Oryzias latipes: one gene and its partner. The protein of the gene in region 1 purifies or fractionates together with the protein of each later gene. This does not show direct contact. Links are inferred from orthologs where the notes say so. Each region holds a gene or a part of one and is shown in the gene's direction. Other genes may lie near its edges.

Evidence for each region.
Region 2: the proteins of emc1 (region 1) and transmembrane emp24 domain-containing protein 2 purify together in Homo sapiens (affinity purification with mass spectrometry; 3 studies listed by BioGRID and IntAct, with this or other methods). This does not show direct contact. The link is inferred for Oryzias latipes from reciprocal best matches to the Homo sapiens genes EMC1 and TMED2.

What each region holds. Positions count from the first base shown.
Region 1 is NC_019865.2:7,724,650-7,733,687, forward strand, and holds the start of emc1 (ER membrane protein complex subunit 1), read left to right. Parts: upstream 1-3,796; 5' UTR 3,797-3,836; coding exon 3,837-3,928; intron 3,929-4,352; coding exon 4,353-4,480; intron 4,481-4,562; coding exon 4,563-4,628; intron 4,629-4,707; coding exon 4,708-4,801; intron 4,802-4,880; coding exon 4,881-5,009; intron 5,010-5,183; coding exon 5,184-5,310; intron 5,311-5,389; coding exon 5,390-5,539; intron 5,540-5,688; coding exon 5,689-5,856; intron 5,857-6,459; coding exon 6,460-6,531; intron 6,532-6,765; coding exon 6,766-6,864; intron 6,865-6,990; coding exon 6,991-7,087; intron 7,088-8,286; coding exon 8,287-8,403; intron 8,404-9,038. Other genes in the region: E3 ubiquitin-protein ligase UBR4, read right to left, coding at 2,918-3,042. UniProt on the Homo sapiens protein: Part of the endoplasmic reticulum membrane protein complex (EMC) that enables the energy-independent insertion into endoplasmic reticulum membranes of newly synthesized membrane proteins.
Region 2 is NC_019870.2:1,423,839-1,432,883, forward strand, and holds transmembrane emp24 domain-containing protein 2, read left to right. Parts: upstream 1-3,573; 5' UTR 3,574-3,707; coding exon 3,708-3,887; intron 3,888-5,877; coding exon 5,878-6,070; intron 6,071-6,153; coding exon 6,154-6,171; intron 6,172-6,383; coding exon 6,384-6,491; intron 6,492-6,567; coding exon 6,568-6,692; 3' UTR 6,693-7,644; downstream 7,645-9,045. Other genes in the region: ptpn11 (tyrosine-protein phosphatase non-receptor type 11), read right to left, coding at 1,809-1,822. UniProt on the Homo sapiens protein: Involved in vesicular protein trafficking. Mainly functions in the early secretory pathway but also in post-Golgi membranes.

The sequences.
Region 1 (9,038 bases):
CTTTAGTTATTAAATAAAACCTTTTGCCAAAATAAGTGATTTTAAATGATGAAATATGTTAATATAATTTAGAAAATGAAAATTTTCTAAATTATATTATATTTTCCTGAGAAGTAGAAATGATATTTTCCTGAGAGGTAGAAACTAATTAGAAAAGTCAATTTATGGATGTAACGTATCAACATTGCATTATCAAAATAAAGACTGATATTAGGCCTGCACAATATACCGCAAATTTATCGTTATCGCAACATCAAGCTGTGCAATATGCATACCGCAAAATATGTCAAAAATCGCAATAAATGGTTACCTTAAATGTGCTAAAACAAACTCATGGCAGCTTGAAATATTGATCAAATGAAATAAATCCCTTTATGCATTTAACCAATCGGAAGGACCCGTTTACGTTGTTGATCAATCAGATGAGCCCTTTTATGTTTGATGTTTGCCTCCTACTTCGACAAGGGTCATTTGGAGTATAATTTTTAAACTGTTGCAGTGAAATGGAAATTATGTTTTTGGTTGTTTTGCTATTTGTTTATATACCACAAATTATATCGTTATCGCAATATTAATCACCAATATCGCATATCGCAAGTTTTCCTCATATCGTGCAGCCCTAACTGATATTATTTATATATATATATATATATATATATATATATATATATATACACACTTTAATTTAACCTTTTTCCTTCAAGACAAAACTAAATCATACCTTTGTCTTAAGAACTATTGTTAGAGAAGTGAACCCCGATGCCAAAGTTTCGACTAAAACCAGAACATTCATCACTGCTGATCTTGAAACCGTTTACCAGCATATTTTCTCCTGACCTTGTCTTAGCATTATTTACTGCTGTTCTGAGTAAGGCCACCATCTTTTATGCCTCTGTAACCCCATTTAAATTGCATTTTTATATAAAATATGGCCTATTTTAGAGACCCAAAGCTACCCAAACATCACACTCAAAAAAAGGAGGAGCATAAAGAGTCTTTAACAGTTGAAGAGACTTTAAACTTCTGACCTATTGATCAGAAGAACAGCTACAGCTTATAGATAGATTTACACCTAAATAACACTGAAAGACATATGTTTCTTCATCACAAATGCAGTCACATAAGGTCACATAACAGCATTTTTAACTTGAAATTTGTGAGGATGATGAGAATTACCAGTATTACGAGTACTTCATTAAACAATTAAGAATACATTTTTTCTGCTATGGCTACCACATTCAATCTCTTTTAAGCCAAAAGTTAAATTTGTTAAATTATGAAAGAAAATCAATAAAGATCCGTTTATAGCGTGGGTTACTTCACCAAGTTAAACAAGCATGAAATGTGAGAGTCATACTTGTTGTCAAGCTTTTCTTTCTTTCACAAAAATCTTCAGAACTAACATTTTTTCCTTGACATACTGTAAAGCTAGATCTAAAAATAAGTTTTAACCCATCAATAAAAGACATTCATCAGTTCTATCCACTGCATGAAAACAGCAACCAAAAACATAGCAGGCTGCAGACTCACAATTTAACTTGCAAGCTAACAAGAAGCTCAGCTTGTTTTTCTTCTAAGTTTATTTAGTTTAAAGAACTTAGCAGATAAAAATTCACATTTAAATGTGTATCCACTTAAACCAATTTATAGTTATCACATAATAAAAAAGACTAGCTTGTTTGTCAACAAACACATTAACTGTGAGCATTCAAATTAATATGTAGCATTTCTGTAATTAAAGCAAACCTGGAGCAAAATTCAAAGTGAGGTTTACTTATATTACATTTTTTTATTGTTTCCATCATAATTGAAACATTGTTATGATGTTTCAAGTCTTATAAGGATGATGCTTTAAAGAAAAGACTTTAAAAGTCTCTTTAAGTACAGCTCGATTTAGTTCCATTTAACTTCATACTGCATAATCACCTGAGGCTTTACACAAACAGGCTTGATTGCTTTTCCTAACTAAAGAGGAAGACAAACATGTCTTAAGATAAGGGTTCTGTTTCTGTAATCGAAGATAAAGAAAGTAGATAAAAATAAATGATAAATGTAAGCTTAATGAAGTAAACCATTTGTTCAAATCTTGCCATTTGTTGGCAGCATGTTTCAAAGGAAAATGAAACTTAAACGTAATCATTATGGGAAGCTCTCCACTGGGTGTCATTAGCCCAGACGATTTGGGTATCAAGTAACTACTTGAATATCGTTTTAAGTACTATAAACCGAACAGCAATTAAGATCCAGCAAAGCTAAGATATTTGTTGTGTGATAACCTACAAATTGATCACTGACTAAAATTAAGTAAGAAGTTAGGTCCACGCCTACTTAACCCAAACATAACCATGCAACGATCGGGGTTCTAACTTTTAACCATCAGCTAATGCTTATTTCACGCATGACAGTCACAACGTTAACTCAATTTAGCAAGTTCGGTGCACAAACCGAATGTATTTGAGCTTTAACAAGTAAATCTATCCCTGATTGGCCAATTTTAGAGCTACGTATGTGAGGGCCCATGGTTAGCTAATACTGGAGTTAGCTAGCTAATGATGAAGCAATTTTTTTAAACCACCCAACAGCCACATCATAAAACGTTTATAAAGCAGCTGGGTTATTTTTAAAAATCATTCAGATTGCGAAAGGTCCCTGGGTCTTGTTAAGACATATAAAGTGAATAGTTATGCAACCCATGACAACATTAAAAAGTTAGCATACTTGCTACAGTCTGAAACGAACTCGATCACAGTGCAAGTTTCGGCGAGTGGACTACTAGCTGCTAACGTTAGCTCAGTGTTGTTTCCCATAGAACTACACTGTCAGTTAAGCTAAGTTAGCAAGACAGCTAGGTCTGGATAGTATTGGGGAGGTTAGGGACAAACAGGACATTTTTATTTTCTGACATGTAAACAGGTACCTGTTAATTATAGAGCCAATAAGCTGAGGAAGCTCCTTTGTTTCAAAAGCAGTATACGAAGCTGATAACAGCGGTCGTACTGCCGCTGTCCATTCGTGTTCCCCATCGCCTCCGCTTGACGCCATCTTGAAATATCATAGAAAAGCTAGCTGTGGCGGAAAGAGGTGTGAAAGTAAATTACAGGGGGCGCTCAACACAATCTGAAAGAACCTCCTCAAAAAATATTGATGTTTTTTTTTGTTTGTTTGTTTTTTAAAGAAAAGTATCATGTAAATCTCTCATAATAGTAAAGTAATTTTTTGTAAACATTTAAGAGGTAATTTTTTTTTGCTATGTTTGTGTAAAACACCCTAGAGATATGAAGAACTTTTATTCAATTTTATTTACTGCTTGCCAAAAAATTCATAGTGTACGCATAACAGATACTAATCATAGGTTCCCTTATATTTTAGTTTATTTATAATTTTTATTCGTTGGGATTTCATGGTTTTTAGATTTCACACACAATAGATTGGATGTTGTTTTTTTTATTTTAAAGTAGAATTTATATAACAATGATTAATAAATCTCACATTCAACATTTTGAAAAAACAATATATATTGTATTACTATTAATTACAATATTAATATTTAACTCGATTAAATATTTTACTTTTCAGGTATGTAATTAAGCATGGTCATTTAATAATGATTATACTACTACTACTACTACTACTACTACTAATGATAATAATAATAATAATAATAATAATAATAATAATAATAATAATAATAATAATAATAATAATAATAATAATAATAATAATAATAATAAAGATGCCTGTAGATGGCAGCCATTTGTTTGAAAGTCAAAGAAAAAACGGAAGTGACAACAACTTACTTCCTTTTCTTGCGGAAGCGCACTCAAACTGCTGCTGCAATGGCAAAGCTAATTTTGTTGTTGCTTAAATGTATACTTTTTTGTGGCACTGTTTATGCCGTGTTTGAGGATCAAGTTGGAAAATTTGATTGGTAAAATAAGTTAATACTTCAAAATAAGTATTTGTAATAATCTGTTAAAATGTTCGCTTCGATTTTCTGCTTTTATGTGCCAATGCTAATGCTAACATCTGTCAGGCATTGCTGCTGCGGCTCGGTGTGGGATTAACTCCTCAAAAGGATGCTTTAATTCCTTGTTTTAAGATTATTGTATTTCTGTAGCTGATTTATTGTCTTGTTTAAATAGACACACCTAATAGCCTAGCAAAAGTGATGTATGTTTTAAAGTATCTGACCATGGCAATGGAAAAAGTAATAGAACCACGAAAGTGGTGCCAAGGACACTTTGTCAGTCAAGGTTGCATTCATATTCATTAGTTCTTATGTGGCATTTAGCCTGAGAAAACTCATCTTGTTGAAGATTTAATTTTTAATATCTTATTCTTGTGTTGCACAGGAGGCAGCAGTATGTAGGCAAGGTTCGTTTTTGTCATTTTGATGCACATATGCAGTCATCCAAAAAAGTTCTACTAGCAACGGAGAGTAATGTTTTTGCTGCACTTAATACCAGGACAGGGGAAGTCTGTGAGTATTTTACTAGTCTGAAATTGATTAAGCCCATGATCAAAACTGACATGCTGAATGGAAAGACAAATTACTATTACAGTGTGGCGGCATGTGGACAAGACTGGCCCAGAGGGAAATATTGATGCTTTTCTGCAAAATGGGCAAGGTAAAGAAGTTCTATTTCAGAGATTTTAGTGTCTATGATCTTTAAAAATGTTTCTAACAGTTTTTTGGTTCCTTCCTAGACTCTGTTTTAGTGGTAGGCAATGGCCGCGTCCTGCGTTCCTGGGAGACCAATATTGGTGGTTTAAACTGGGAGGTTGTGCTTGACTCCGGCAGGTGAGTATTTCATTGACAGTCTGTGCAGTTATTGTATTATATACTTTGAACCTTTTTTTATTTTTTATTCTATTTTAAGCTTTCAGTCCACTCGTTTAGTAGGACAGCAAGGAACAGTTAAAAATGTTGCTGTTCTGAAGAAAACTGCCATCTCTCTTCATTACTTGTCTAATGGTCATCAAAAGTGGATTGAGAACCTTCCAGACAGGTAAAATATGATAAACTTACCAATCGGCAAAATTTGCTTCCATACAATCGTATTGTCAGTGACATGAATAAAACTTTTATGTATCTTTATGTTATAGAAACACACATTCTTTAAATACTGCACATTATGAGCATTGAAACTGTTTTGTAACCACCTGTGTTTTTATCTTGACAGTGATACTGTGGATTACCAAACGGTATACTCGGGTGGAAATGGGGAAGTTTATGTATTGGGAGTTGTTCCGCATTCCCACATTGCTGTTGTTGCTTTTAGTGTGGATGATGGAGAGATACTTAAGCAGGTATGATGCATAAAGTTGAAATTAATATAAGTAAAACAAGCCACCCATTGTTTTTACCTAATACTTGTTTTGGTTGCAGAGCTCAGTTGAAGCTCCTTGGCTGTCCAGTATACCAGAAAGCTGTCAAATAGTTGACCAAGAGATGTTGATCTGTGTAGATTCTACGACGATGTCCCTTTACACACTTGACTTAACCTTGCAGTTACAAATGAACCAGATTCCCTTACAGGTAAAAAATGTATACATATTTCTGCTTTGTGGAATTACTGTCCATTGCTCTTTTTCATCATTTAATCTCACTTACAAGAAATTTCACACTTTAAGACAATCATATTCTCCATGTGAAATTTGGCATTTGTTTTGTTTGTCTTTCCTCAGTCTCTGGAACTTGAAGTAGACCCGGACTTTCGTCCATCTTTAGTGTCACACCAGCCTAACCCGGCTAAGCAGCCACTGTCAGAGTTTTTTCTTCAGCTTGGACCTGATCGCTATGTTCTTCTCCAGTTCAACAGTGGGCAGATAGTGATGTTGAGGGATTTCAAACCAGTATGTAACGCTTTCTCCAAACAGCACTTTTCTATTTTGACTTTGAGATTGCAGAATGTGTGCTATTCACCTCGACTCCAGTACTTTAACCCTTTTTAAGCTTGCTTTCTTGAAAAATGACATTTTAAACAATAAAACAATTTAAAGGGAGTAAGACTTTGGGGTTGCTCTTAAAATGCTTTCATTTGAAGAGCAACCATCTATAATTGAACCAGAAAAATGATAGCCTTTGGAAAATGACATCCCATTCTGCACTGTGCACCACATTGTAAATAAGAAATTGTTCTTAATGTTTTGCCTGGTGAAATAAAAGTTTCTATTTACTGTGTAATAGTCGACCATAAATGTGCACTACTAAGCTTTGAGGACACATTGTGCTCTTAACTGCAGGATGCAATGCTTTTTAGTTCAAATTGTTTAAATATTTTTTCTTTCCTGGTTTAAATATCATTTTAACGAATAGTGTGTTATATGACTACGCTTGACTGGTCCTCTTATGACCAAGGTAGTCATGTAAAATTACTAACTGAAGTCATCCCCCTGTAAGTTTAAGTTTAAAGTTGCAATTTCTGTAATCAGCTTCATATTTATCTTTATTTTTAGGCCCTGCTTGTTTCGTTTGCAACGACTGGAGAAAAGACTGTTGCTGCTGTCATGTCACCGAAGAATAAAACTGTAAGTTCATGACAATTTAGAGCTTAAATGTTCATTACTGGATTTTGGGACTCAAATATGGAACCTAAAAATCATTAAACTGGTGGGATGAAAAAATCTGTAAGACTTTTTACATCATATTATTTTTTTGTGTTGAAACTGAGAACAGGTACAGTCAGGAGTACGGTAATTTTATGTAAGTGCTGTTGAGGTATTGTTTTTAATGTGCTATATTATGTTGCTCCTGCCACACAGGCCTCCACTATTAACCTCTATAATGCTGAAACTGGGCGCAGACTTCTTGACACCACATTGATTTTTACCATGGATCCTAATGGTGGGAAACCAGAGAGGGTGAGTCTGTAGGTCCAAATTGTTTTCTGCCGTGGCCTTATCATAGATTTTTAAAATTAGCAGTAACATTTAGATTAAAATACCGGATAAATTAATCAGTCCATTTGTTTTATTTCTGTTTTTCAGCTGAATATTCAAGCGTTTCTGAAGAAAGATGATTCTGTTGGCTACAGAGTGATGGTGCAGACCAAAGACCACGCGCTTACTTTCATACAGCAGCCAGGTATAAAGAAAAGCTAAGACAAAGATGACACCAAATATCAAAGAATGTTTTGGATTTGTTTCTACTTTATGTTTTCAATGACATTTAGCAACACAAAGACACAAACTGATAAATTTGGATTTTCAGAGCATCATGATGACACAGCATCTATTCATTAAAAAAAAAGTTTTTTAATGATATTTCATGTTGTGCTGGCTGAAAAAATGTGTTGTTGGACTCATCAATAAACAGTTAAAACACATTAACAGTTTTTTATAAAAGCATACATTTAGTCATACTTTTCGTATACTGTATGAAACAAATGTAATAGCAGAAATAGTTCTGGGATTTGGGGTTTTGTGCAACACTTCTACAAAAAAATTACTTTATTACACTTAACTTGACAGTTGATTAGGTTGGTGTTTATCAGAATTTCCAACAAATAAATGTGGAATCAAAGTTAAATCCTGAACAAAATGTACTAATTTCTTCAAGTCAGTTAAATAGGAGCTACCCACTCGTGGAAGTGTGTTAGGACGACTCAATCGTGCAATGAGCCTAACCTTGTGGCATTAATCTAGCCTTACACATAGGTTTTGCTGTCTTGTGCATAGCTAGAATCTTTTTGGATTCAGTTTTGTCTCGTTTTATTTTTGTATTGTTTCCCTTTTCAAGTAGATTGATGAGGCAGGGCATGGATAATTAACACCAACGCACATTTTTGGTGTCATTTCTGCCATGGTGCGGCACCAAAGTAGTGCCCTGCTGTTTTAATCACAGCTTTTCACAAGCTAATCTGATGTTTTAAACTGCTTTGTTAAAAACTGTTGTTTCCTTGAAGAAACTAGCTCAGTGATTGTTTATAGAGTTACATTACATGAGAGTTTTTGTCAGTGGAAGTCTCTCGGATGTTATGATGTCTGCTGCTATTCATTATCTCTTTCCGAAGAGCAAAGTTTTGCCTTGGTTTTACATTTTCACTGATACCACCTCTGAGTCATCAGATGTGCAGCTGACATCAAGCCTTTTTGTTAAATACAGATTCAGGTTTCATGATGTATTCAAAGCTGTATCCTTCCCACCCTCATGAAAATAGGAAATGTATAGGAAATGCCATCAGTGTGTTGTTGCTAAGAAGTGATAACAAAAAGCAGATTTTTCTTGCAGAGTGTGGAAAGTTGTAATGGTCAGTTGCAGAACAATAATAAGTGTTCTTTCAGGGCGTGTATTGTGGACCAGAGAGGAGGCCCTATCAGACGTGTTGACCATGGAAATGGTGGATTTGCCCCTCACTGGAACGCAGGCAGAACTGGAGGGAGAGTTTGGCAAAAAGACCGGTAAATGTCTAACCAAAGCTTACTCTTTATCCTTATGATGTCACACGGTTTAGTTATTGTTTCCACATTTAGCGTTTGCTGTCTTTTAACCACTTTATGCCGTATGTTGTTAATTCTCAGCACACCCTTTATTTTAAGGCTTCCCTTAATTTAGCATCACAAGAACAGGAAAAAATGTGGAAGAATATTTTCTTTTTATAGTTGGAAATAAAGTCAGGCATTAAGGGGTTAACTTTAGTGTATTTCACAAGTCTAATACTACAAAAGAAATCCTAGAAATATGTCAAACATTCTTACATTATTTTTTTCTGTCTTACCAAGAATTCCACTTTTTTAAGAAAAAAATTCCAGTTACTAAAACATATTTTCTTAAACTAAGATTGTTGTTGAAAAGCTTTTATTGAGATTATTTTTCTTGTAAGACAGAAAATAAGACATTTTTCCTTGAAACATGGAAACTACTACTACTTTATCAAGATTAAGTTTTTTGCAGTGCAGGTTTTTAAGAAGGAAAAAAATGATTTAATTGCGTCATTTATCAGTTAAGTTTTCTGAAATATTACTGCAAGCCAATATTGGGTGTCTTTGGTAAATGAATCAAAGTGGTTTTTGAAAGTTTCATTATCTTCTAATTT
Region 2 (9,045 bases), on another chromosome or scaffold:
TCAATAAATGGTCATTCCGCCGTGAGCAGAACACGCTCATACTGGACAGTCACCTGAAGACCAGGTTATCCTTTTCTTTGGAGAAATTCAAGGAGGATTTTGCAGGAAAAGGCCTCATTTCAGAGCCAAAGAATTCAGTCAAACAGTCTGAAAAATTTACCGATATCGCGATTCCAAGCTGTGCGATCTCCATATCGCAAAAGTCGGTGAAAAACGCAATAAATAGTAAACATTTTATGTGCTAAAACAATCTTATGGCAGCTTGAAGTATTTAACGAATCAAATCAATCCATTTATGCATTTGACCAATCAGATGGAGCTTTAATGTAGGTTGTTGCCCTCCTAATTAGACGAGGGTCGTTTGGAGAATAATTGAAGGTATTTTGACTCTAATTTAAGTTAAACTTATGCAGTGAAATGGAAATGTTTTTCTGGTTTTTTTATATTTGTTCATTTATCACAAGTTATATCACTAAAATTGCATTTTGCGAGTTTTCCTCATATCCTGCAGCCCCTGTCTGAATGAGAAGGATGGCTTCTGCATCCTCTCCAATTCATTTTTCATGTTTTCTACAGTTTGACTGGGTGTCTGCGTCTGGTCCCGTCTGCGTCTGCGTCTGGTCCCATCTGCGTCTGGTCCCGTCTGCGTCTGGTCCCGTCTGCGTCTGGTCCCGTCTGCGTCTGGTCCCGTCTGCGTCTGGTCCCGTCTGCGTCTGGTCCCGTCTGCGTCTGGTCCCGTCTGCGTCTGGTCCCGCCTGCGTCTGGTCCCGTCTGCGTCTGGTCCTGTCTGCGTCTGGTCCCGTCTCTGTCTGCGTCTGGTTCCGTCTGCGTCTGCGTCTGGTCCCGTCTGCGTTTCTGGCCTCCTCTCTGCACACGATCCGCCTCGTCTTTGCCTTTTTGACTAATGAAACTTTAAATAGATCATGTGCCTTCAACGCTAAACCTCACGCTGGTGTTTCAGCCAAACTTTCTTCCTGTTTGCTGATCAAAAACACTTTTTTTTTTTTGCTTGAGCAAAGGCCTGGCTGCGACGGCGCCTCTGCGGCCAGACGCTTCCGTCTTGTGGATGTTCTGTGGAATGTGTCAGATGAAGCAGACGGAAGGTTTTCCTCTTTCCTTTCTGTTGCTTCTCATCAAATCAGCTGAAACTCAACCAAAGATGCTCACAAGTCACTTTTTCCCAGCGAGTTGTGGTTAAAATGAGCCTCTTCTTAGACGCAAATTGCACGTTGAAAAACAAGCACAAGAAAACACATTTAGCTTTTCTGCACTAAAAGGTTGTTGTTGTTCTTTTGTCCCAGAGGTATAAATAAAAACCAAAAAAAGTGAGCATTGATCACAAGTCTCCCTGCATGAGAGACTCAAGTCTCTGCTGAAAACAGCTGGCAGGAAATCTATTTATGACTGAATTTGAAACTTCTTTATTTGGAAAAATGACCATTAAAGTGGTGAACTAACGCCGAATGTGCAGAAACAAACCAAAACACTGACATAAATCACATGTTATGGATTAAAGTAACTCTATGTTTAAAGTTATTCCCTGATTATTCGATCGTTTTCATAAACTTTTGTGAAAAACCTAAAGTTCCACCCCAGCAGAAATGCTGTCGACTCGTCCACTAAGTAACGGCTCCAGACGCCGGTGTGGAACTTCACTGAACGCCCGGACAACAGCGGCTCCTCTGCCCTCGGGCTGTTCCAGAACCGTCGGTCCGGTTGGGTTCGACTACCGAGCAGATCCGTGAATCTGGGTTCACTCCAACGTCCCTGCCTGCGCTTAAATTGTGTCCCAAACAAGCCTCTCTTACCTCCGAGATGTCATTTTTTTCCCCCTCCTCACTTCCTCGCTGGCAGCTAGCGCTAGCTTCAACTAGCTAGCTAGGGTTTCCGATCGTTCCCGCCTTGATCAATCAATAAAGTGCTTCATCGGTGAACAGAGAAACCCGATCACAACGGGCACTAGAAACTACTTAAGCATCCGCAGAAACGTGAATGGCCGTCCGCTTCGGGGGGAAATGTCCGTAGGCCTCGGTCCGGAGACTTCACGGCAACTATTGGACGTCACCAAACATGCGACAAAACAGAGAACGCGGATCTGGACACCTGGAGCTCCCGTTTCTCGACGCGCTTCGCCCTGGCGGAAGTAACCGGTTTGACGGGAAGAGCTCCCCTCAACCGGCATAAAGCGGGACATAAATTAAGCTAACCCCAAAGTCTTACTACGAGAGTACTTGCAGGATGTAATGCTAAAGTTTGTGTCTTGTTTTTGTTTTCTTATATACATATATTATTTTCCAGATCTTTTAAAAAAAACATCTGGAATATTATGACGACTTTTGAACGTCCAAATGTCACAATTCTATTTAAAAAAATACTTTTTTGGGAGGTTAAAACATTTTTCCATGATTTAAATCAGACACCATTATTATCCTTGCAAAGACAATAAGGTACACTTCTGAAATAAAATTATTTTATTTTACTCAATAAATTATAATTTGACGGAAGCTGTGCCAAAAATATTTGAATTGTCTTGCTTCTTAACCTTCAGAAAGTTTATTTTTATCCTTTTGTGAAGAAAGCAGCAATTTCACAAACTCCATATATTCAGTGAATCCTTAGATTTTACTGACAAAGATTCCAGCAATACGATAATTTATCCAAAAACGTTGATAGGTGGATTATTCCTGAAGCAAATAATCCCAGAACAATGTGTCTTAGTAAAATATATATATATATATATATATATATATATATATATATATATATATATATATATATATATATATATATATATATATTTATATGTACAGAGTTTTAAAACCAGTTTCCTTACTGTATCTTTCTTTAAAAGATGAAATTTTATACTGAATCCTCAAAAATAATTATTGAAACACCACTTTGTGTGTCCAGCTTTTCCTGCAGTTTGACCAACAAATAAATACATTTTCCTTGACACAACTGTGAAAACCAAGAATGTGCACAAAAACAGTCGCACGACACTGAACTTTTGAACACAAAAATACATTTACAAAACATGCACATGCATTAAATTGGATAAACTCTGAAGATTTTTTTTTTTCTGGAGACATGCTAAAGTGAGTCAAAGCCTACATTATAAATCAAAATATTTTCAATAATGGATTTATGATAAATTAATTATATTTATCCACCACAATTGACTTTAGACTTCAGTTTGAGTCATTATAAAAAGACGAAATTATAGAAACCGTTAAGAAGAATTAGAGAAATACAAAGCAAACACGTGGATGTACTGATGTAAAAGATGTACAATTTAAAAGACATAAAAATATTTTTTATACTTTCAAATGCCTCAAAGATAACTCACACCATATGGTTTTCAAGGATTATTGAGGGAAAAACTTCAGACAACTACTACTGAATCTTTACATGTATTTTCTGAAGATATACTTTAATTAATTGTTTTTTATAAGAATGCGCAGAAAGCCAGGTTCGACTTTAGAAATCTTTTTTTTTTTTTTTTTACGGACCGCTTTTCTTAAGTTTGTCCCTCTCGAGCTGCTGTCCTGTAAGCCCTTACGTGGCAGTCTCAGAGCGGTGTACAGCAGCCGAGGCTGGTGCAGCTCCTTTCCTGCGGAGCCTCTCTTCCTCCACGTACCTCCATCCTGCAGGATTCTCCTCGGAAAAGAGGGCCGGACAGTCCGGACGCGTCTTTCTCTGCCTGAAACATGTTTACCGCCTCGGAGCTGGTCGTCCTGCTGGCCGTCCTGACGGCCACCGCGTCCGGCTACTTCGTTAGCATAGACGCCCATGCCGAAGAGTGCTTCTATGAGCGGGTGAACTCCGGCACCAAGATGGGCCTCATGTTCGAGGTGGCAGAAGGAGGCTTTCTGGACATCGACGTCGAGGTGAAACATTTAATTGACGCAATGTATCAACACAAAATGTATTTTTTATTTTGAGTTGTTCCTGTAAATCTTTCGAGGTTAAACGGGGCCTATGCTAATGCTAGCGGTTAGCCTTTAGCTGTCTGTCCACGTAATGTCAACTTGATGCTAGGTAGCGCTGGATTTGTGGCCTTTAACTTGATGTTAGAAACGTTTGACCTAAATATTAACAATAATAACGTTTTCCTGGATCATTTGAAGACAGTTTATACACAGAAGTTATGGCATTTATAACTTTAGCATTGCGTTAGAGATGCTAACTGTTACAAATTAAAGTTGTGCAACATTATTTAACATTTTGTGATTTGTCGACTTAATGTTCAGATAGTTGACACACAAAGCTGGTGTTCTGACTCACTTTCTGCCATATGGTTTGTTAAATATTCAATGTGTCTAAATACAAACTTTTTATGTAAAACCCGTAAACTATAGGAAATAAAACCATTTTATCAGGTTTTAAAACCGTAAAGAAGAGGTATTGAAATGTGAATTATGGTGAAGCAAAAACACAGGTGTCTGCATTGTGATGAGTCATCTTTTACACTTATCACCACTTTTTTGATAACACGCTTTCTGCTGTGGTCTAAAGAAACTGCATATTCAGTATCTAAACATATTCAGTGGAGTTCAATTTAGTGTTTAAATGTATTAAACTGATTTTACTAATGTTGTGACAGTAAAGTTTATCTTCTGGCATTTCCAGAGTGCTTCAGTTGATTGTGTCTAAATACAAAAAATTCCAAACTGGGGCTTTCAGATAAGAAACCTCTCTGATGCTGCAATAGATCTATTTAAAACGATTGTGTTCATGTTCAACCACCTGTGTTTCAATTAACAACTCAAACAGGGCCATATGGTCTTTAAAGTTCCGCTCCAATCATCTTTTAATCTATTTTCAAGGCCTTTTGATTATGATGATGCAGTTTTTAGCCAAAACCTAAAAATTTGTTTAGGACATACTTTCTGCAGAGCGGCAGGAGGTCATTAGAAATTCACTTCTTGAGCTGTTGGTGCAGAACAAGCCAGCAACCCCTTCCCTTACTTTGTTTACATGCTCCCCTGCTAGCTTACAGCCCCTCACACCCCCAACCTAACATTAGCGTAGCAAAGAAATGGCAGCAACATCAGATCCATCCGTCCGTCCAGTTCTGATCCAGATTCCAGCTCAGACCAGGAAAACAAAGACAATCATGGATTTAAGCTGAATTTTCTGTTTGTCCTCCACGTCAAAAACGCCATTTTCATCAGAGGGGGCCTTCAAACTTAATGTCCGCTGCCTCCCTCTGTAGCAAATGGAAAGTAAATAAAGTTCTACCTGTTTCAGAGATACAGTTTACAATTTTTTTTAATTTCGTAGAGCGACAGGATAGAAATCAGCAGATTGTCTCGGTTCAACTGAATAGAAGAAGTGAAGCGTGACTGAAAGTGTTTAAACATCAGATGGAAAATCTGACACGAGCTCTGTAAACACTCAGGAGGCCATAATGATTTCACCTCTTTAATGCTTTTCTCTATTGTAGAACATGTCAAGGAGGAAGTTTTGGATTTTTTTTTTAGATGTTGATATAAAAAGCCTTGTTTTGATATTTGTTGATCTTAACTTTATCCTTTTTCCGTCACTAAAAGAAAAGTTTTTGTTTTTCTAAATAAATGCATAAATCGACTATTAACACAATTTCCATCATGAAGCTATATATATGTATGTATATGTGTGTGTGTATATGTATGTATATATATATATATATATATATATATATATATATATATATATATATTTACTTTGAGCTAAACTGACGTTGTTTGTATCTGGGTAGGTGGTCTAATCATTAATCCGGGTCTTCAAAAACAGGTTTTCAAGAAAAGATGCTGTGCTTCGTGTGCAGAATTTACCTGCTGCCATCAACTGGACACTGGTATCTTATCAAAAATGGTTTCCTTATTCCGTTGGTAGATAATGGGGCCTGACGGGAAGCAGATCTACAAAGGGGACCGGGAGTCCAGCGGGAAGTACTCTGTGGCTGCTCACATGGACGGAACCTACAAGTTCTGCTTCAGCAACAAGATGTCCACCATGACGCCCAAGATCGTCATGTTCACCATCGACATCGGAGAGGCTCCCAAAGGCCAGAACATGGAGACTGAAGGTGTGCTGAGCGTTCTCTCTGATCCGCGCCTCACGCGTTGCTCTTATGCTCCGTTCGTTCTGACGGCCTTTGCTCTCCTGTAGGTGCCAACAGCTGGGACGGTAGGGATCAGGCAGCCTGTGATGCACTGTGGCGTTTTTTTTGTAAATCTAACCGGTTCTGCAGTTTAAACTAACAAGCATCTGGTCCTTTTAGACAGCGTGTCGTCCCGGCACGTGCATCAGACGTGTGAAAGTGCCGTGCATGGGTTTTGTGCACGAGTTGAGTGCAGGCGACGTGGTGACACCTTCTTTTGTTTTTCTGCCTGTTCCAGCTCATCAGAACAAGCTGGAGGAGATGATCAACGAGCTGGCTGTTGCCATGACAGCGGTCAAGCATGAGCAGGAGTACATGGAGGTCCGCGAGAGGATACACAGAGCGAGTACGTGCCCAGAAAGACGTGCCTCCAACGCTGGAAGTGCATCTGAAATGAATCGTTGTGTTCTTTTTCTCCTCAGTCAATGACAACACGAACAGCAGGGTGGTCCTGTGGTCCTTCTTTGAAGCTCTGGTCCTGGTCGCCATGACGCTCGGACAAATTTACTACCTGAAGAGATTTTTTGAAGTGCGACGAGTCGTGTAGAGCGATTTCCACAATCCCTCCCTGTGTTCCTCTACTGTTTTTTTTTGTTTTGTTTTTGACACCAAGACCGTAATTTACTCTCTGGAAAAGAGACTGGCTGGAAGTTTTCTTCTCCTGTTTGCTTCCTTTTGTAAAAAACAGATGGTTGAAGGACTCTGCCATAAATGTGGGTCTTTTTTTTTTTAACAGATTTTTATTGTCCATATCTGTTGGAGAGTTTTAGTCCAGCTGAAGCAGAAAAGGGGCTTTTCATTTTCAGTCATTGTAGTCAAAAATGAGAAACTCCAAGGGAAGGAATGGCTGTGAGAAGGTTTTATTCCCCTTAGAAGATGCCCCCGGTTGTGTTTTCTGTCATCTGTTGTGTTCATGCTGTCGAACAACAAATTGCACTCCTGATGTAAAAATGTCTGAGGGATTCTTCTCTGGACGGGAAGCTCCACCTCCTCCCTTATCTGAAGGCGGGACTTCGAGGAACGTCTCTCACCTCCCGCCGTCTTCAGATGTTTGCGTCAGGCTCGACGTTCATTCTTTCGTTTTTAAAACCTCGACTTTGACGCCTCCAGCTCGAGCAGAACCGGGTCAGAACGGTACGGTTTGGCTCTGCAGCAGAGGAAAGTCCACGTTACATGTCGAGGTTCTTCTGGGCGGGTCGAGGGGGGGGGGGGGGTGTTCAACACTGCTGTGTGCTTTTTGTTGCATCTATATTTCTGTCAGGTTTGGGGTTGAACATTAAAAACTTTGAATGCAGTTCTGGGCGTGTGATTTCCTGCAGCAGGTCTGGTGGCGTGCAGCCGTCCAGCTGGAGCCTTCTCACCAGCTGCATGTCCCTCATCAGGCTTCGGTTTTGTAATAAAGATGTGATCAACCAGATCCGTGACGTAGCTCTGTACAAACAGACTGGTTCAACTGAAAATCCCCAGATTTCATAATAAAGCCGATATTCTGTACGATTCTCTGATGTGTTTGTGGGCCCGTCTGTCAGGACACTGCCATAAGTCCCGGTCCGCAGGTCCATGGCGTGTTTATGGTTTCAGTGCACTAAACAGGGGGGGGGGCTTGTCTGGGGGTCCAAATCCAAAATTCAGTGACTTGGAAAGAGGTCTGCAAAAGAGTGCATTGTTGCCCTCAAGACTGGCAACAACGGCATTGATTTGAAACGTTAATGATCCAAGTTTTCCTCATCCGAACACAATGGATTCATCAATGGTCTTCATAAAACCATATTTATTAGATTTTACTTTGACAAATGGGAAACGTCGTGGTTCAAAAAAGGTTCAAATTGTGTTAAAATCCAGGATGCTAGATAGTCCCACTCTGTATAGTGTTTAAGTGGCTTAGTGACGGAATTTGAACCACTGACTGACCACGGCGTTCCAAACAGGAAGTGGCTCCAAAGCCAAAATCCCATGACTTACGCCGGCAGAAGAACCATTCTGGATCTGATTTTTTTTATACCTTCATAATCCTCATTCTTTCTTTCAAGTTATAAACTGACCAATCAGATGCCTCAATAAAAGTAGGTGGTTCCATAGCCCATTTTCACGTGGTAGGGGTGTGGCCTTCCAACAAGCTCACTCCTGATATGTAAAAGGGGTTGCCATAGAAACCATTACTTGGGGCGTGTCCAAATTCGAGGGCGAGTCTAGTCTTCAGTTAATTCCAGCCGTCACAGCTGGGAATGTCCTGTCGCCTAGCAACCGTGAGTGGAGTAGTGAAGGTTTTCCTGGCTCGTCTTGCATCTTGGGACATGATGGGAAGCAGAGAAGGAAACACCAGACCAATCTTGAAATCGGGAAAAAGAAGGCCGTGTTCGAAGGAGTCGTTGAATTTGGACGGTACTTGTCGCGGCGCTGCGACGTAAGCGGCCTTCAAATGCAGCCTAGGAAGAACGCGGCCCTCAGATTTGGACACAGTTTGGACCAATCACTGCTTACTGACCACGTCTGGCTCCAACATGGCGGCATCTGCACTGCATCGAGGAAAAATGGCGACTGAATGCACCTAATTTGGTTGAAGCTGGAAGTAAAAGAGGCGGGGCTAATGGAATTCTTAATTCCAGCCACACCCACATCTTTCCACATATAACAGGTGAAAACTCAGGATCTATTCATGAGCGGGTTAGCAGAACTCAGTTACGGTTCATTCTAAGTCAAATCAGAACAAGATCCAAATCTCTCAGTATCTGGATCTCCTTTTGCTGTTTGGGGCTTTTTGTGCATTTTTTACTTTACAATTTCCTTCCGTCAACTTTCCTTGAAAAGGTTTTTGTGGCAATGCTTGGCATCCATCTTTTTAATATAACCCCCTCTTCTGTGTATACAGAGATATTTTATTATATTACACAATAGTTACA